Nothobranchius furzeri: one gene and its partner. The protein of the gene in region 2 purifies or fractionates together with the protein of the main gene of each other region. This does not show direct contact. Links are inferred from orthologs where the notes say so. Each region holds a gene or a part of one and is shown on either strand. Other genes may lie near its edges.

Evidence for each region. Proteins that work in one complex are often made in the same cells at the same time.
Region 1: the proteins of orc2 (region 2) and fxr1 purify together in Homo sapiens (affinity purification with mass spectrometry; 4 studies listed by BioGRID and IntAct, with this or other methods). This does not show direct contact. The link is inferred for Nothobranchius furzeri from reciprocal best matches to the Homo sapiens genes ORC2 and FXR1.

The regions. Positions count from the first base shown.
Region 1 is NC_091748.1:72,996,133-73,006,320, forward strand, and holds the start of fxr1 (RNA-binding protein FXR1), read right to left. Parts: upstream 4,447-10,188; 5' UTR 4,421-4,446; coding exon 4,331-4,420; intron 1-4,330. UniProt on the Homo sapiens protein: mRNA-binding protein that acts as a regulator of mRNAs translation and/or stability, and which is required for various processes, such as neurogenesis, muscle development and spermatogenesis.
Region 2 is NC_091751.1:63,945,702-63,955,889, reverse strand, and holds orc2 (origin recognition complex subunit 2), read right to left. Parts: upstream 6,653-10,188; 5' UTR 6,516-6,652; exon of another isoform or gene 6,382-6,515; 5' UTR 6,380-6,381; coding exon 6,310-6,379; intron 6,191-6,309; coding exon 6,032-6,190; intron 5,661-6,031; coding exon 5,574-5,660; intron 5,485-5,573; coding exon 5,395-5,484; intron 5,319-5,394; coding exon 5,287-5,318; intron 5,208-5,286; coding exon 5,150-5,207; intron 5,075-5,149; coding exon 4,776-5,074; intron 4,697-4,775; coding exon 4,587-4,696; intron 3,369-4,586; coding exon 3,236-3,368; intron 3,148-3,235; coding exon 3,051-3,147; intron 2,966-3,050; coding exon 2,819-2,965; intron 2,698-2,818; coding exon 2,526-2,697; intron 1,229-2,525; coding exon 1,167-1,228; intron 1,099-1,166; coding exon 980-1,098; intron 900-979; coding exon 816-899; 3' UTR 698-815; downstream 1-697. Other genes in the region: zgc:162816 (D-serine dehydratase), read right to left, coding at 8,834-8,923, 9,124-9,229. UniProt on the Homo sapiens protein: Component of the origin recognition complex (ORC) that binds origins of replication. DNA-binding is ATP-dependent. The specific DNA sequences that define origins of replication have not been identified yet.

The sequences.
Region 1 (10,188 bases), on a different chromosome or scaffold from region 2:
CTTTTCACAAAAACAGACATATGGTACGTAGGGTTGTCACGGTAACCGGAATAGCGGTAAACCCCGGTAAAAAAAAGTTGACAATAATAATAACCGTCTTGTTTAAAAAAAAACATATATTATCTCGGTGGGTTACCGTGGCTGCGGTGTAGCGCGGTGACCCTTACCAGCCACCGTATCATCTGCTGAAGTTGCCGGCGGCACATGCTCGCTTTGTTGTTTACAACCAAAACTTTCTTGAAGCTAAAGCTGAAATAATGACCAGAGGAGGAGACGGCAGCACTCAGGACATTTTTTATCCCTCAAGGAAGACAAAGTGGGAAGTACGGGCATCTTTTGGATATTTGAAGAATGCCGAGGGACAGTTTATAGAAGATGCCACGGCTATCCTGTTTGCAGCACGTGCAGAAAAAGTGTCTGTGAAAGGCAGCAACGCCTCAAATCTCATGACACATCTGCGTGACCATCACCCACAACTCTACAGTCAACGCAAGGCAAGCTAACGTTAGCGTTTTAGCTAAAATGCGTGATCCGAGGATTTGGGTTGAGGGAGAATGCAACGAGTCGCTATATAAAGCAGCCGCAGCGCCGCTACCTGCATATAAACCGTGTCGCAGACACCCCCATGTTGAAATGACGCTATGCATTACGGGGCTCCCAGGGGCAGATAAGAGTTGGTCTCTCTCTGAGAATAATTATGAATTTATGACATTTTCCCAAATCTGCAAAGCTCACTGGAAGAACACAAACTGAGGACAATATTTTCCTGATATATGGTTTATTACTCAAATAAGGGTAAAAAAGTATCTGATTAGAAAGCTACTTGAGTACTGAGTATCATCTGATCTAATATTTTTAAAATGATGACATCAATTAGACAAAAGATAAGAAGTTATGGGCAAATATTGGTATTTTAAAGACTAAAGGGAAAAAATGTAAACAAATAAACAACATAATTACAAAATAACACATTTTAGGCAAAATTTAGACACAAACTGAGGACAATATTTCCTGACATACAGGGTTTATTTAATTGTGTGAAAATGTAGCACGTTTAAAAAAAATACCGCGATACCCCCCGCACCGTGAGAACAAACATCCCAGCTCCAAGGCCGATCTTTATCCGCGTACGTCACACGTCACGTGATCAGGAAGCAGAAAATCCATGTGTGAGGAGATCGTTTTGGGCCGCTGCTGTAAAAAAGTGAGGCACGAACCGGAAAAGCTTCTGCCGATCACAATTCGACAACCGATTATGAAAGAACGGATAACGCTGGAAACACGCGGATTCTTCCTGATGTAAGAGGTGAGTCTCCTCTTTGTTTTGGTTGTTTTGGCGTCGACATCCGGAACTTTCCGGAACTGCACTACTCTGGGTGGCCGTATGTTGGAGTAGCTCTGTTGATTATATGCAAGTTTTGCCTTTTCTTGGACATTTTTTCTTCTAGTTTCTCAAGAAAAACTGTATTTTTGGACACTTTGCTTTTCTGTTTCTGGTGCTGTGAAGCTTGGGGGATTTTTACTGCTATTTTTTAGCTTTTTTCACTTTTTGAGCAGTTGTTATGATGCGTAACCATGGCAACAGTCTGGTTTACAATCGGTAGCAGCTGATTAACATTGGAAAGGCTGAAATAATACCTCAACTGAAGCCACAAATCCCAAATGAGCTAAAACGCAAGAAGTATGGGTGCAGAGCGGGAGCAAAACGGAGACAGAGAAAGAGGAAATTCAAACCATCTCTTCCATCAATCATAATGGGCAACATGAGATCACTGGCCAACAAGATGGAGGAACTCCAAGCCCTTTCAAGGACTCAGCCAGAGTTTCGACAGTTTCAGAACCGCTGGAGGAGATAATGCAAAGAAGGATTCTCCAGATAATCAAGAAGATTATGGACAACCCTGAGCATTCTCTTCACAAGACTGTCCGACAACGGAAGAGCGTCTTCAGTCAGAGGCTTCTTCAGTTTCGCTGCAACACTGACCGCTACTGGAGATCCTTCCTGCCAACAGCCATTGTAATATACAATAACTCTTTGATGACTTGATTATTATTATTATTCTGAGCTACTACAGCAATCAATTTCCCTCTGGGATTAATAAAGTATTTTTGAATTGAATTGAATCATCCTAGAGCACAACATTCTGCACTTGTCATTCTTTTAAATTTCTAGAGACCACTTTATCAATGTGTCATCATTACTGGTATTACAATTTCTTCACACTGTGTATTTATTTCAAGCTCAATAAATATATTTGAGAGTAAATGAAGAACGGTTCTAAATCAAGTGGGATTAAAGGGCAGACTGGTTCTTGTGCCAAGTTTAATAAACATTTTCTAATTTAAATTCATCTTCATTAGATTGAATTTCAAAATGAGCTTTTGTTTTGTATTTAAAGAGCAAGTCAACCCCTACCAGAGTCTAACTCCACTCCCGCTTCATGTTTGAAAAATGCAACACATGCTGTTGCCTGGCAGACCGAGAGGGCGGAGCCGCTAACAAATACACACACACTCAGGCTCACGACAGCATTGTGACATCATAATGTACCAGTTTACATCATAGCATACTTCTTAGCCAATAGCGGTGGCAGATTTAAATTAAAATACAGTGCAGAGTTTTTACCTGACAATGGCACAACACTGCCAGTTTGAGGCAGAATATTTAAATTTTAACTAAGATGCACTGAAGTGCCAAATTATTGATGACACGTGTCTGCAGCACGATTAGACACTCGTTTATTTAGTTTATCAGCAAAAAAAAGTTTATTTGGGGGTGACTTGCTCTTTAAAGAGCAAGTCACCCCCTACCAGAGTATTACTCCACTCCCACTTCATGTTTGAAAAATGCAGCAAATGCTCTTGCCAAGCAGACCGAGAGGGCGGAGCTGCTAACAAATACACACACACACACACAGGCTCAAAACGACATTAGGACATCATATCGTACCAGCTAACATTCTAGGGTACCTCTTAGCCAATAGCGATGGCAGATTTAAATTCAACTGCAGTGCAGTGTTAACCTGACAATGGCACAATGGACAGTTTTAGGCAGAACATTTACATTTTAACTAAAATGCACTAAAGTGCTAAACTATTGACTACACGTGTCCGCAGCACGATTAGACAAGCATTTATATAGTTTATCAGAAAAAAAAAAGTTCATTTAGGGGTGACTTGATCTTTACTGCATCTGAATGGCCCCTCAAGTAATCTATATAGTATCAAATCTATACCATGTGGAGCAGAACAGATGTGATTTGGGAGATTGTTTGCAGTAAATCATCAGATCACAACAATGCTGACTGGACTTTCATCTTAAATCAGCAGTCGTGGGGATGAAACCCAAGAATTCTGACATTTATATTCGAAAGTATATTTAATCTCTTTTGAGGAACAGCCTGCGGGTCTTTTATAAAAGTCATGTGACAATCTTGTCTGAAACTGTGTGGCAGGGACTTTACAGAGAAAAGAACGTCACACCTTCACGTAACTCACGAGTTTAAAAGATGCAGTGTAACTGGGAATGGCTGAGGTAAACATATGAGCAAAAAGGAACAGTGATCTCGGTATTATAATGAGCTGCATCACCGGGGGCATGGGGATGAAACGAAACCGAGAGAAGTGAAAGAGAAAATACAAAAGTATCACTTTAGGGCCGAGGTCTAGAAATAGCTTACAAGTGTACAATATCACCGAGGCTCTGCTGACATGCCAACTGCTCTGGACTGACAGGGAACAGCTGGCACACATAGCGAAGATGGCCTGAACATGATCAAGTATCAAATAATAGACGGTGACAGGAAGATATGGTAGTCTGTGAAGAGCGTTGCAGGCGTGGTGCTTTCTGAACGCCGTTAGTAAAAAATAAAAATAAATAAAAAATACCCTCCAAACCAATTATGTGTTGTTATTCTAAAACGAATAAAACGTCAACCCCGACAAGGAATACATGTTTAACGGATAGCTTTATTCAACTATTAGACGTCAACAGTTTGCGAGTTAGCTAACTTTTAGCTAATGACCGTTACAGTCACGGGAATGCAAAAAAACAGCTTTCACGTGTTTAATATCTGAGGTATAACGGAAAGGACAGTGATTCCTCTCATTTGTGTTGGGCAAAAGTCGATAAAACAAAACACTTGGCAAAAACAAGCGACCGACGTTAGCTTAGCCTGCTAATTTTGGCTAGCTGCACTTTAACAACAAACAGTTCGAGGACTCAAAGACACTCGGAACACGTAGTTACGGTCCTCGAAACTTCAGCTAACAGTCTGTATTGGGTAACGAAGTGCTACTTTTACAGCTGTGATGATATGCCGGTATTTACCTTATAATAAGCGCCGTTGGAGCCACGGACCTCCACCGCCAGTTCTTCCATATTGGACACGCAAAGGATGCCGGGACGACAGGTGTTCATTAGGGCTCCGATAGAGAGGCATGTTGTGGCGTTAGAAACTGTATTTTTGTGGTTTACATTTAAAATTATGATTGTTATTTAATGCTTTATGTTTGTGGGTTTCCTTTTAAGTTTCATATTTAATGCCCCACATCACTGGGGATATTTAACACGTTGTTTTATGAAGATGTTCAAAAGCATCATTCTGTAAAATGTAATGAGAATAATGTAAGAAGAGTCATTAAAATGAGAACATATTTCACATTTAATGATACACATGTCAGCTGAAATGCCACATTCAGACTAAGTTCACTACAAACAAACAACAGACGTGTGTCTGGCTTAAGATCACACATGGAATGAGTAGAAATCTTCATTGCTTCCAGGTATCACATCCAGAACATTCCGTTGAAAATATTCTCTCATAGAAGCTTAGACCTTCATGAAATAGTAACTCCAAAGTGAAGGCTTCTCTGGTCTGCTTGGTAACGAAATCATAACTAGGTTGTCATGAGTCGGGGTGAGTACTCGTCTCACACATTCCACCTTTGAGTTGTGTTTCAGGAGAGGGAGGCTTCCAGCTGCGCCAGGTTAGCAATCGGGGGGACCGGCTACTTAAGGAGTTGGAGAACACACCTCGACGCGGGATGATTACTACAGCTCGGTAGTTTCCAGCTTTCTAGTGTTGCAGTGATTTTGTGCCTCTTGTGTTTTTGGCTTATTGATCTATGTGGATTTTTTTGTGCTCACGCCTTCTTCAGGATTTTTGGAACATCTCTGGAGTAGAGACTTCTCAGGATTCAGTGACTCATCAGGATACTCACCTTTGCCACGTAACCCTTCAGGATGCAGCTCTCTGCTGTTCTCCATTCCTCCATCCAATCCGCTCACCTGCTCTCTCCACGCTCCCTCTCCTGGACCTCCTCACCCGGACACACCCCGACTCTGGACCTGCCCTTCCCAATACCTACACCTCCCAAATTCCCTATGCTGCGCTCCGTTTCCCGACCTCCACTGGAATTCCCAGTGCACCTTATGTTCTCGTTCTAAAATAAACATTCTTTTTTTTTTTCATTAAATCAGTGAGTTTATTGTGATTGCATGTCCTGGGTTAAACGCCTTCCCCAGACCATGTCAGAATCATCCCGCCAACCCGCTAACCCTGCAGACACAACTCTCACCGATCATCTCCATAGGGTGTCCCAACAGGAGCAGACGATGCCGCTGCAAATGAAGCAGCTTAACGCAGCCCAAAGTCGTTGCCAGCAGCTGGAGGCCCTGGTGCGGCAGATCCACAACCGAGTGTCTCAGCCGCAGACTCCTAGAACGGAACCTCAGGCGGCCGCTCCAGTTGCCTCCGGACCGGAAGTTCCAGTTCCCACAGAGATCACCCACTTCCATCCAGCCGCTTCTCCTCCATCCCAGACATTCGGCGGTGAGTTCAAGGACTGCCATAGCTTCCTCCTTCAGTGTCGTCTCGCATTTGAACGCTCACCAGGAGCTTTTTCCACAGACTCAATTAAAATGTCATATATTGTTGGACTACGTCATGGACGAGCCCTACGGTGGGCTGAAGCTAAGAGCCATTGTGCCACTTTTCTATTAGGACCTCATGATGAGTTTTTAACGGACTTCACACAGACTTTTGGACAGACCGAATTTGTTTTGGATATTAGGAAGCGACTCTGGACATTGTCACAGGGTCGACGATCAGTGGCGGACATGTCTGTGGAGTTCAGGACTTTGGCAGCAAGGACTTCATGGAACGAAGAAGCACTAATTGCTGCGTTCACAGAGGCTCTCAGTGATCGAGTCCAGGACCAGTTGGCGTTGTGCCAGGAACCTCAGTCTCTGGAGGGACTCATTCGCCTTGCCATCTCCATTGACAAACGTCACCAGGAGCTACAGCGCCCGGTCACCAGTGCTCGTCCAGCTCCCACTCCTGACCGTAACCAGGGGACTGGATATCGCTCCTCTTCTGAGACTACCACAACTGATGAACCCATGCAGATGGGTTGGACTCGTCTTTCCCCAGAAGAGCGGGAACATCGAATAAGGTCAGGTCTATGTTTGTATTGCGGGGGGCCCGGACACTTCGCCAGAGTCTGCCCAGCACTGGCAAAAGGCAGAGCCCACCAGTAAAACCGGGACTACTGGTGGGCAGAAACTCCAGCTCCCGTTGTTCTATCCAGTGTACTGTGTTTTTAATTCTGAACAGTTTCAGCTAGAGGCATTGGTGGACTCTGGTTGTGAGCAGTCTATGTTGGATCCTGGCTAGGTAGAGAGGTGGAATACCCCTACCACTCGTTTGTCGTCTCCTCTCCCTGTGTCATCACTGGATGACAGGGCTTTATCCACCATCACTCACCAGACCATTCCCCTACAGTTAAGAGTGTCAGGTAACCACACAGAACGTCTGGCATTTTTTGTATTTCCCTCTCCCCAGTCCCCGTTCGTCCTGGGCCACTCTTGGTTGAAACGCTACAACCCCCAGCTGAACTGGAAAACCAACCGGATAGAAGGATGGAGTCCAGAGTGTTCTCAAGTTTGCCTTCGCTCAGCCTCACCAACCTTCCACAGCCCCACAATCCCTTCTGCAGAAGAGATTGATCTCTCCAAAGTACCTCTGGTCTACCATGACCTCAGACAGGTATTCAACAAAGACCGTGCTTCTTCTCTTCCCCCACACAGACCTTTTGACTGCAGCATTGAGTTGCTGCCTGGAGCTCCACTTGCCTCCAGTTGCCTATATCACCTTTCCAAGCCTGAGAGGGAGAGTATGGAGAGTTACATCCAGGAGTCTCTGGCAGCCGGTCTTATCAGGCCCTCCACCTCACCTCTGGGAGCAGGGTTTTTCTTTGTTCCAAAAAAGGAGGGAATGCTCAGGCCTTACACAGACTACAGGGGGTTAAACAAAATAACTGTAAAAAACAAGTATCCTCTGCCTCTGTTAACTTCCACTTTTGAGCCCATTCAGGACGCCACTATTGTCAGCCACTTGGATCTCAGGAATGCCTTCCACTTAGTACGGATCCGTCAGGGAGATGAGTGGAAGACGGGGTTTAAAATTCCTTTAGGACATTTTGAGTATCTGGTAATGCCTTTTGGCCTGACTAATGCTCCTGCTGTGTTTCAGTCACTTGTGAACTCTGTCTTAGGAGATTATTTGAATAAGTATGTGACTGTCTATTTGGATGATATCTTAATTTTTTCAAGTACTCTAGAACAACATGTTCAGCATGTTCGGTCGGTGTTACAGCGCCTCCTGGAAAACTGGCTTTATGTGAAGGCTGACAAATGTATGTTTCATGTCACCACGGTTAAGTTTTTAGGATTTGTCATCGAGAGTGGGAGGCTGAAGGCAGACCCTGAGAAGGTCTAGGCAGTCACGGAATTGCCTACCCCATCCTCCCGTAAACAACTCCAGAGATTCCTGGGTTTCGCCGACTTCTACAGGAGATTCATCAGAAACTTCACTCAGACAGCCGCTCCTTTAACTAACCTCGCCTCCATTAACCAGCCTTTTGTTTGGTCCCCAGAAGCCCAAGCAGCTTTTCTGATGCTGAAAAGGAAGTTCACACATGCTCCGGTGCTCCACCGACCAGACCCCCAACTCCAGTTTACACTCGAGGTGGATGCCTCAGACACCGGACTTGGTGCAGTACTGTCTCAGGTATCTCCTTCTGACCATCGCCTTCCCCCTTTTGCCTTTTTTCTTGCCGTTTAACCCCAACAGAGAGCAGATACAACGTAGGCGACAGAGAGCTCTTGGCAGTGAAACTCGTCATCGAGGAATGGAGACACTGGCTTCAGGGGGCTGAGATCCCCTTCATCATCTGGACCGATCATAAAAATCTGGTCTACCTGAGAGAGGCAAAGAGACTCAACCCGCAACAATACAGGTGGTCCCTTTTTTTCTCTCACTTCAACCTTCAGATTTCATACCGCCCAGGCCCCAAGAACACCAAGCCAGATGCTCTCTCAAGACAACACGCACCTGACCAGGAGACAGAGCCCTCCACGATCCTACCCCCCACGTGTGTGGTGGGAGGGGTGACGTGGGAGATCCGAGACCAGGTTTTAGAGGCCCAGAGGACCGATCCAGGTCCAGGGATGGGACCTCCTGGCAGACTCTGGGTTCCGCAGGCTGTGAGGGGCAAAGTTATTCATTGGGCACATATTGGCAGATTTTCACTCCATCCCAGAGTTGGGCATACAATAGCTCTCATTAGATGCACGTTCTGGTGGCCTGCCATGTACAGGGATGTCAAAGACTATATATCAGGGTGTCATACTTGTGCTCAGCAAAAAGGAGACCGCCGGTCCCAGGCAGGACTATTAAACCCACTAGCAACCCCTTCTCGACCATGGTCTCATGTGGCGCTAGATTATTGTGGGTGGTCTGCCGAATTCTCAGGGGTTTAACACGATACTCACCATTGTGGACAGGTTTTCTAAAGACTGCCATCTCATTCCTTTAAAGTCCCTTCCTTCTTCTACAATCACAGCCAAGCTACTTATCAAACATGTTTTCCGTTTGCATGGTATCCCAGAGGAGATCCTGTCTGATCGAGGACTCCAGTTTCTATCCAGAGTCTGGAAGGAGTTCGCAGAGGCTCTGGGGGCTCGAGTCGCCCTCACATCAGGATACCATCCTCAGACAAATGGACAATGTGAGCGTATGAACCAAGAACTCGGGGCGATGTTACGCTGTGTATGTTCGGCTCACCCGTCGTCCTGGAGTTCTCACCTTGCTTGGATAGAATACGCCCACAACTCCCACGTCTCTACAGCAACAGGTCAGTCTCCTTTTGGGTCCTCCTTGGGTTATCAACCTTCCCTGTTCCCTCTACAGTCTCCAGCTCCTTCCATGGTTCCACAGTTCCTCCCGGGGGCTAAACGGGCTTGGGCATCCACCCGGGCGGCTTTGTACAGGACTGCTGACAAAAACAAGAGGCTAGCCGATCGCCGGCAGTGCCCAGCTCCAGATTACGCCCTTGGTTGGGAGGTCTGGCTCTCCTCCAAAGATATTCCCCAAAAAGCAACCACCCGCAAACTGTCACCCAGGTTTCTGGGCCCTTTCAAGATTCTGGACATCCCCACTCCCTCCACAGTCCGGCTGGACCTCCTTTGCTCTCTCAAGGTTCACCCAGTGTTCCACGTGTCCTTGGTGAAACCAGTGACCACGAGCCGTCTCTGTCCTACACCTGCTTCTCTTCCGCCTGTGCGGCTCTACGGGGGGTCTTGTTTATTCTGTCCGCAGGATTTTGGACTCCCGACCCCGAGGCCGGGGCACCCAGTATCTCGTCGACTGGGAGGGTTACTGTCCTGAGGAGCGTTCCTGGGCTCCACGCTCCTTTATTGAGGATCCGTCCCTTATCTGGGACTTCGAGGCAGTGTCTGCCAGGCCGCCGGGAGGCGTCCGTTGAGGTGGTGGGGGTACTGTCATGAGTCGGGGTGAGTACTCGTCTCACACATTCCACCTTTGAGTTGTGTTTCAGGAGAGGGAGGCTTCCAGCTGCGTCAGGTTAGCAATCAGCGGGACCGGCTACTTAAGGAGTTGGAGAACTCACCTCGACGCGGGATGATTACTACAACTCGGTAGTTTCCAGCCTTTTAGTGTTGCAGTGATTTTGTGCCTCTTGTGTTTTTGGCTTATTGATCTATGTGGATTTTTTGTGCTCACGCCTTCTTCAGGATTTTTGAAACATCTCTGGAGTAGAGACTTCTCAGGATTCAGTGACTCATCAGGATACTCACCTTTGCCACGTAACCCTTCAGGACGCAGC
Region 2 (10,188 bases):
TTTCTTCTTTTCACGGCGACTCACCCCGTTGACAGATGCGGAGTCGATACCTTTTAAACACAGCTTGGCGCCTTGGCAATGAGTGACACAGCAGCGTCTGTCACGTGACTTTTTCTTAAAGCGACACACGCATCGACACAGGTTTCACTCCATGGGCTTGACACATGCGCCGGTGTTGCTGGACCCATCACTACCCTTTACAAATAAACTCTGTGACCGGATGTTCGGTGCATCGTGCCGCAGTTATAACTGGTTGACTTGTCTGATCATTGTCTCCTTCTCTCTCCGACTGCAGAAAAGGGTTATTGATAAAATCCATGACACATCTGGAAGGGTCAATTCCAACATCTGTCTGCAGACCAGACGGTCTTGTGAAGAACCAACAGTCACATACTGGATCTAACACTGAGCACCAACATTATAAACATACAAAGTTGACTTATCCACATCTCTGATGCCGACTGATGAAAGATTCATCATTGTGCCGCTCAGTGGAAGAATCAGCTGCTTACATTTAATCCAGTCAGATTGAACAAATCAGCCAGATGCCTAAAATATTCTGGTTTGTCCTCCACCGGAGCTCAGTGGGAATGTTCAGTTTTTGTCATGATCTGATGATCAGGGTGCATCTCGTTTCCCGAGCTTCAAACTTCAGACGCCCCTCTGTTGTAACAGCAGCACCACAACACAACCCTCACTTATTTAATATTCTTTATTTAAAACAATAATTCTGTCTTAGATGCAAATGTTTTAGTAAGTGAATGGCTCAAATAAATTTACAAGAAATGACAGGTCACATATTTTAAGTCTTGTCTTCATTCATCCTTCTCGTTCTCCAAAAAGTCCATCAGTGTGTTCGCATCCACGGCAACATTCAGGTACTCCACTCCGTCGGCCCCCTGGAGGTCAGAGAAAAGCAAAGTCAGCAAAGAAACGCTGGGACAGAGAGCGGAAGCGGGAAACGTAAGGTGAAGCTCACTTTTCGTGTCCGAATCAGCTTATGGTCCCTAAACTCTGTCAGCTGAGTCCTCAGTGTGAGGTCAGAGTTCACCAAGAAGGCTTCTCTGCAGCGCTGGTAAAAGTCTTGGAAAGACAACCCTGCGTACAAATGTTTATAACCGTCACACACTGAAGAAATGAAAAGGAGGAGCTGAAGGATTTTGTACCCGTGTATGAAGGGTTGTCTTTGTTTTCCAGCTGAAACTTCACCAACAGTCTGAAGATTCCTCTGCAGGAGTAAAAGACGACAGTTAAAAACCTAAAATATGACAAGTAATCAGATCCGGTTCTAGCGCTAAAGCAGGCCCGTCTGGTACTATGACAGCCTGTGGGCGCGCTTCCCACCAACCAGAAAAACTACAGATCCCGGAATGCAGCACAGTTAAGTTTTCCGTTTTTTCCCTCTTTAGAATTATGATGCTGAAGCTTGGTTTATGCTTGACGCGTTCACTTTCCGCGCGGTGATGCGGGTCGCGGCTGGAACGCGCTTCACAACTCGGCAGCGTTTATGGTTTGTGCGGCTCGTCTCTGCGGTGAGCCAATATTCTCCCAAACTGTAGGGGGCAGCATGGAGCTCTACGGCATGCTTCCAACACTACACCATAGTAGAAGTAGAAATGACTGTTTACAACATGGCATTTCAGCATTTTTAACAGCGTCCTCGTCTTTTCCGACAGTGCGAGCCATTTCTCTCCAAGAATTATTAACAACATGTTGATCACGGTGATCTCTGAGAGCTGAATCATACAAATGTCTGTATTTATGAACCTCTGCCATACTAGTTCTTGCCGGTCCGCCATGTTTTTCCGCATCCGTCCGTCCGCGTGGTTAGAAATTTTCCGAGGTGCACGTTGCGGAAATTCTGGGCCGTGCGGAGGCACGGTGGAGGGGCGTGGTTGTTAAAATGACGCAAAATGACGCAACTTTTCCGCGCGGAGTCGTGCGGACCTCGCGGACGCGTCAAGCATAAACCAACCTTGAGAAAAACAAACTGGAACGTTGGAAGGATGTTCACCACATCACAGATGTGACATGTTAATGTAGATTTTTCAAAGATTATTTCAGGATTAAGATGCATTTATTAGCTTTTCTTTTTGAGACTGAAATCCTGAGTGAGGGGGAAGGGGAGCATAAAGAGACCAACTAGGGATGCACCGATACCGATACTGGTATCGGTGCAGATACCGATACGATACTGGTATCGGTATCGGTAAAAGTAAACCGATACAAATGCAGTTGCTTGAAAATGGCTTCACTGTAACTTGTCATTTCTGTTCACCTGATAATTTAGTTTTGTGATGATTTCTATTCATGTATTTTACTTTTTATCTACCTCACAGTCTTTTCCCGTTGAAAGCAGAGAAGAAAATAAAATCTGTATTCCAAATCATAACTTTTTTTTTGTGTGGTAGAAGTATAGGTATCGGTAATCGTATCGGCAAATATTCAGATCCAAGTATCGGTATTGTATCGGTTTGGAAAAAAGTGGTATCGTTGCATCCCTAGGACCAACATGGCTGCAGTACCTCGCGTTGGGAGTCAAGCTGCGGAGCACGTGTGTGAGGGAGGACAGAGCGAGAGCACCCGTCTGCTGCACCAAGAGTGAGTTTTCATACGACGTCTCCTCTGCATAGTGCTGGAACGTCACACACTCCCACCACAACCAGTTAAACTGGCTCTGCTTGAACTGGTCCCACACTGGAAACACATTAGGAACACTTAGGTGCAAGAACAGACCAATCCCTGTGACGAGCTGATGGAGATGGGCGCCAGCTTCTCCGTGATCCCGACAGCGGTACTAATTCCCGTGACCACCCACCCAGTGGAGCATTGATGTGGTCTATGGAAGCCACCAAGTGCAGGTTTGGTAAGGACGCCAGCTGCCCCAGTGCGCTCTGGGTCTTCTCTCCTCGCAGCATTTGCCCGTCAATGTTATGGATCAGTAAAAACACACGGAGACCTGGGTCTGCAGAGACGTCAGAAAAGTAAAACTCACAAATCCAACAAACGTGAAGGCTGAGACAACTAGTCTCGCTCACTCAGCGACTTACTGCCTTTGAGGGTCTGAGCGATGAACTGGATCTGGTCCGACGGCGTGCGGAAACTTCCTTCGTGCTCCAGAACCTCACATGTCAGGGAGTTTAATATCTGCAGCGCGATCACATGACAGCTGTGGTTTGTTCTGTTTTCTGTAGACAGTCGCAATAAAAACGCACATTTTCACTGGTCTACGAACCGCTTTAAGAGTAATGGAGGGGAAGAACCCGTTGACCACCAGGTGGATCTCTTGAGACAGATGAGCCACCCTGAAGTCTTCGAGCAAAGCCTTTTTGCTGCCCAAACCATAAACCAGAACACTGAATCCCAACCTGCAAACCAACAACAAGCACCTCTTGGGAGAAGTAGGGGTTGCATGACTTAATTTTTTTTAAAGTCGACAGTCAAGTAATGAAAATCGAGTCGACTTCGACTAGTCGTTGATGACGTCATTCACCTGAAGCGGCGGCGGGGGGGGGGGGGGGGGGGGGGGGGGGTCGGTAGGTTCGCTGGAGTTTTTGACAATTAAAATTGCACCCAAATTGAAAGAAAGAATTTTCTAAGTTAAACATCTCTTTTAACAACGGTAGTTTCTGCATCAGCCCTCTCCCCCCTCCCCCTGCGCAGCGGCCACAAACTCACTGATGCGCCTGCAGCCTCTCAGAGTTCCTGCTGCTCTAAACATTAAAATAATTAGTTCATTTTCTGTTCCTCACTTCTGATTACCTTCAATGGTGTCTGTTTGTTGCAACCACCAGGTACAAAAACTAACTTGTTTTTATTTGCCTATTTTTCTGTCCTGCCTGTTTATTATCTTCCTGCATCTCCTCTCAGTCCTAAAGAAAAACTGCTACCTGGGTTCATATATATTCACCTTATGAGTTACCTTTGAACTGCAGTTCTAAAAGATCTACCGACCGCAAAAACAGCGGAGTGCCGCTGCTCGCCGGCCGACTACAACGGGACCGTTTTTGCTGCGGAGTTCGTGCCGGAGCGGAGATAGTGGAATCTTGGGGGTGCGTCACCGGAGGACAAAACAGGTGAAGAGCCTCGCTCCGCAGCAGCGAAACGCATCAGGCACAAATAACAGACAGAAAACATGAAAGGAAATGAGCCGACATGAACGATCGCGTGTTTAGTTAGTTTTTGAGGTGGTGACACCTGATTTGGCGGTGCTCTGGACGCAGATGTCTGGAGCGCGTCAACGATCAGAGCTTTGCATGCGCAAACTGGTTAAGATTAGGATGGGGGTGAGGGGAAGGTTAAATTGCAAGAGGGTAAAGGTCACAGTTTGGTTAAATGTCCGTTTTACCGCCGGTGTCAGTACCGACGCTCTGGCACAGCGCGTCGCCTCCGCCTCCCGACGCAGGGGCTCATCACCTGCTGGAGGACTGCATCTTGTCAGTCATTATCACGTGACAGCGACTAGTCGATGACAGGCATAAAAAGTCACTACAGAGCCGTGAAGTCGACTAGTTCATACAACCCCTAGGGAGACGTTTTAGTAGAACAGAGTCAAACCGTAGGAAAGGGCACGCCGCCACACTCACTGCAGCTGTAACATCCATTTGTTAAAGTGCTTCCTGTGTTTGTCGTGCAGCTGCTGGATCTCTTTTGAGTAGCAAGACGGTTTATCTTCTAAAAGACGATCCAACGTCTCCTGTCCAAAAAGTAAAAGAGGTGGAGTTTAGCCAAAGGTTTATTATAATGGACTAACATGTAACTTTTAATTCACACACCCGGTCAAACTTAGGGGTGTGCAAACGCTGGAGGGTCCGGTCCGACGTCAGGACCTTTGAGCTGCCATGAGCCTCAAAATACTCCTCGGTCATGGTGGGCTGATTCAGAGGCTCGGCTGTGTTCTTGCTCCTCTTGGCAGGAGTCTTGTAGAGAGCTGCAGAAAGCCCTTTACTAGGGGTTCTCGTCTTTTTCACATTCTCCTTGTCCTCTTGCTTCCCTCTCTGCTCTTCTTTGAGCTCGTCCTCCTCAGAGTCAGAGGGGGAGAGTTCACTGTCGCTGTCAGACCGAAGAGTTGGTGCTGAAAATAAGCCCCACCACACCCAGATTACACCAGCGTTACTAAACGAACACAACTACAACAGGCCAGGCGTACCTGTAAGTCTCTTCCTGAGTCTGTGAGGGGTGGTGGAGACAAACCGGACACTCTTTTTCTGTTTCAGGAGAAACAAAACTAAATTAAAACAAACTAAATCCTTCACTGGATAAAGTGAAATGTATTAGCTCTCTCACCCTCTGTGGTGTCCTGTTTTCACCTGCGTGGCCTAGACAGACAAAAGTAAACCTGATCATTTCATAATGAGAGCACAGGCGGACGGGGAGTGGGTTCGCTCGACTCACTGCTGCCTGTCCGAGAGGGAGTGGTGGGTTCCGAGTTTGTGTCCCTGGTGAAGCTCACGCTTTTTCCCGGGGTCCGAGCCAGTTCGCTCGCTACGAAGGGAAACAACAAAACAACGGTTTAATAAATGCAGCTGAAGATGAACGTTGAGCCTTCGTTCGAGAGGTAATCGGAGATTCACCAGTTTGGGCCAAGCTGTGACTTCGTTTGACTTTCTGGAAGGTGAAGATGGAGGAACCAGCAACTCTAGAAGGATTATCGTCTACTTCTGTGAAGCCAAAGAACATATTAGTGGCATTAAGAGACATTTAGGTTCATGTTATGGCTTTATTAGGTAATGTCAAAATACTAAACTCGATGATCTACAGTGGCACCGAGAAGACAGGAGGCAGGGCAGGTGAAAATGTTGAGATTGTCTTCAGGAGTGACAGGATCAGGATTAGAGGGACTGCGTTAGATGATTTGAAATAAGATCAGGCTAAGATGGTTTGGACATGGAGGAATCTGCAGAAGGATGCTCAGGCTGGAACAGCCAGGCAGGAGTCGTGGAGGAAAGCCAAAGAGCAGATTTATGGATGGAAGAGTGGAGGATGAGGGTGAAAATGCAGCAGGACAAAACCAGAACCAAGGAAGGGATACCTTCATCGTTTTCAGTTCCTAAAGCTCGGACATAACCCAGCTCATCATGGACTCCGTTTTCATCTCCATCACACCGAGTCTCCTCCAGGCATTCCCTCTGTCCAGCCGGGCTCTTAAACTTCACCATCCTCAGCCCAGAGCCAGCACTGCTCTGCAATACTAGTCACAACACACACACACACACACACGCGCGCGCGCGCGCGCACACACACACACGCACACATAAAACGAGAGCGAATGGGCAAAAAACAAAACAGCAGAGATAAACCAGCTCATACCCTCCTGTTTGTCCACGATGTGCTCCAAAACATCCCCATCCCCAACGAACTTCACCTCCAACACGCTCATTTCTACCAATAAACACAAAACACACGATACAAGCCTGAAGCCACGCAGCAAAACACACAATTAGCCCTGCTACTAGAGTCGGTTTGAACTCTCGCGCTAAAGCTGAGGAAAGTGAGCGCAAAAGGTCGAGACTTACTCAAACGGGCGGAAAAAGTCCGCAAAACAATATAAAATTTAAAACATAAACAAAACTTTAAAGTCGGAAAGTTTAATTGAGAAGCGATGTGACAAGTTTCCGCGCCATTCTGAACATTTTAAATCACGTGACTGAGTGGAAAGGTCATAAAGTGGCCAATCAAAACGCTAGTAGCAGTAAAACTACGTTTCCCAAGAATCCTTTCAACAAGTCCGCCTGTCACAAGTCCACAGACAAATAATATTCAAGTCAGGTATTCTTACTCTAATTCACAGCAGTAGAAAAAACTTTGTACAGGTAAGATCAAATGTAATGGACACAATATGACACGCTTAAGCACAGAAAAGAAGAAGTAGTGAAAATAATGAAAATAGAACTGTGAAAATAAAGTTTAACGTTGTAAAGAAAAGAAAGAAAGAGAACGATCTTTTCTCTCAAGTTAAAAATCACGAGGCGCTTCACAAAACCAAAAAATTCAAGTATAAAAAGATTTAAAAAATGATTACAAATATGTTTAAAAATAATATATGAATTATAAAAATAATAAATTAGGATTAAACCAAATCCTAAATACAAGGATTGACTGGATACTGATTAAAATACTTTAATGATTCAGGTTGATATCTGATCTGACATTAGTTAATGTCCATATTTCAAGTTACATTCAGTTTGTGGTCATTTTCAATAAGAATCACATTTCTTGGTAATCTGTAAAGGGCATTTTATTGCCATGTTTATTTTTTTCATTCAGTTTCAATTTCAAGTAGTCTTGAGAATCAGTGTGTGTCACGTTTGATGCTGTGATTATTGTTTATTTAGTATTCATTCAACTCCACAATCCGGTTAAAGATTCACTAAAGAAAGGGGATTTAGATGTCTTGCTATTAGTTAAGTCTTTTCGTTCTAGCGGCCTCAAATATTATTCTGAAATCTGTCTACGTGTGTGTGTGTGTTAGTGAGCACTTTCCCTCTACCAAGATGATCCATCCCACCGCATGTAGAAAAAGTTTCAGAGGTTTCAGTTCAGCTCATGAAAAATGGGAGCAAAAACAAAAGTGTTGCGTCTATATTTATACTGACAAATTTGTTCGTGAGAATCCAGATTTAGAAAACTATTTAACACTTTGGATTCACTTTTGCTCATTGAAACAGTTTATTTTTTCACCTTTCACTACAAAAATTTAGTTGATACAGTTTTACACAAGACAATATCTGCACTTTTTTGACAAGAACATCTTCAATTCTGTATGAATACAATCCACCATGTATAAAATCTCCTTTATGTGGATCTAAATTCCTCCTTTAATCTTCTGGATGTTATTCATTTTTATGTCTTCCTCGGAGATCTCATGGGGCGAGGCAGGGAAATACACTCGCTCATAAGTTTGGGTTTGTTCTGGTTGATAATTCCTATTATATTGATTTAAAATAAAAACTGAAATGACTGAGCTTTAATAAAAAACTACGTTATCACTGAAACAACATCAGCATTAAATAACAGTAGGGTTTAGGGTCAGGGCGACACAGCAGCTCAACATTTTTATGTCTCTTCGATTGTCCCTAAATAGGAGAGGAGACTGCTGATCAAATTCTGATAGTTGGTGTCAAGCCTTTATTTTCCATTATTTCTAAGTCACTGGTTTGAACTAGGGATGCACCGATGGATTGGCATTTGATCCCAATCGGCCGATAGCGCCCCTATCGGTTTTGATCGGAGTTTTCAAAATAGATCAAAGCAGACCGATCAGACCATTTTAGATTAGGTTACATTTCCTTTATTCCCAGATTATGTGGTTTGTAGCACTCATTGTAATGTTGTATAAAATTTCTGGCCAATCCACATGATCGGTATCGGTGATCAGCATTCTTTGATATCGGTATCGGCAGCAAAAAACCCCCATCACCTTTGAGATAATACAAGAGGGTCAAGGGGACAAAATCAAACGTGAGAAATGTTCCATTAAAATATAACCTTTGTATGTGTTTAAGGCTAGAATTCTACCATTTAAATGGCGACAGAAAGAATGATCATGATATTAATTAAACAATCAGTAAACAACTCGTCTCACTGAAATGTATTTATCTACACAATGGACAAAAACAAATTTTTTAAATTTGCTTTGATTTACAGAGATAACATTACGTAAAAACAAAGATGGCCAATTTTACAACACATCGATTTAGAAAATGGTTAAAGTCTCATAAAAACAGGCTCTGATATGTTTTTTTTTCCAGACACCAGTCTAATCAACCACAAATATGCTGTTTTAGGTGGACAAGTATCTTCATCTAACAACATCCAGGTCAAAACTTGGGCTTCACCACCCACGGGTGGGGTTCCACGTCCCCAGCAGACGACCCTTGGAGTGTACATGATACACGGGATGCATCATGGCTGTCGCACAGGACTGAAATAAAATAAAAATAAACTTTAAAACACAATAGCAACACAATGAATCCGACACCACATGAAGGAATGTCCAGTATGAGAACCTTCAGAGGAACTCCCGTCACTGACGGCTTCTTGGATAACAGAATATAATCTTCTAACCGAGCCTCTTTTAATCCTACAGACAGGTTGCTAAAGGTCACATTAAACAATACTAACGTGGTGGGGGATCAACGAGAGCAAAGTACCAAGAGGGTATTTGCTGTAGTCCAGATGACCCGAGATGGGCTCCAGTCTTCCATGTTCCTGAGTCATTGATGACAACCTGGAGGGATACATAACCAAGTGCAACATAAACAACATGTAAGAATGAAGTAAAAATGACATCTTGTGGTCAAATATGGTGACTGCAGCTCACTTTGCTAAACAAAAAGTTACTGTCTCACTGTTGTTCTGTGAGTTTTATGGCTCTTGCCAGTTACAGATCAGCACCAGAAGATTCTAGATGATAAGCAAAGTTGATAAGTAGATAAATACATAATTATATCTGGTAGGGCTGGGCGATATGGTCTAAAATCAATATCACGATATATTGAGGATTTCACCTCGATAACGATAAGTGGACGATAACTACAGGTATTAGCAGAAATGAAAATTGTCCACTAGATGGGGCTGTCGCGTGTATTACGTTGAATCACATTTTTACGTGACTCAAGGTGGTACAGCTTCTTAAAGGGACATGAATGTTGCCCATCTACACACATCTTTTCATTTTTTATTATCACATTTATTGACACGGGAACAATTTATCCCGATAAGAGTCAGAAATGTCGATAACGATAAATTTTCAATTTATTGCCCAGCCCTAACATCTGGTGTTCGCACACTTGGATATTTTACGGTAGAGAGCATTTACTACACTTATTACGGTAATGCATCAGGCATTACAGGAAGTGTGTTTGTTTGCCGTCTTGCTGTTAGCTTGCTCTAATAGTTCTGAACGACTCATTAAAGGAAGTAAAATGCTGCGATTGACTCATTATTCATGTCACACACACATTTCACTTTAATACTGAGATGTTGCTAATTGAGAAAGTAGCTTAAGATATTTTTAGAGCCGAGTACTTGCTCCTAATTCACCATTATAACTGTTAGCTCAGCGTTAGCCTCTAGCCTGATTCACTCAAGTAAAACAAAAAGATGTTGTGGCTTCTTAGGGTTACAAGAAATAACTTCTGGGTCACTCCTGTTTACTGGCACTGGTTCTTTAAACAACTCTGGAGC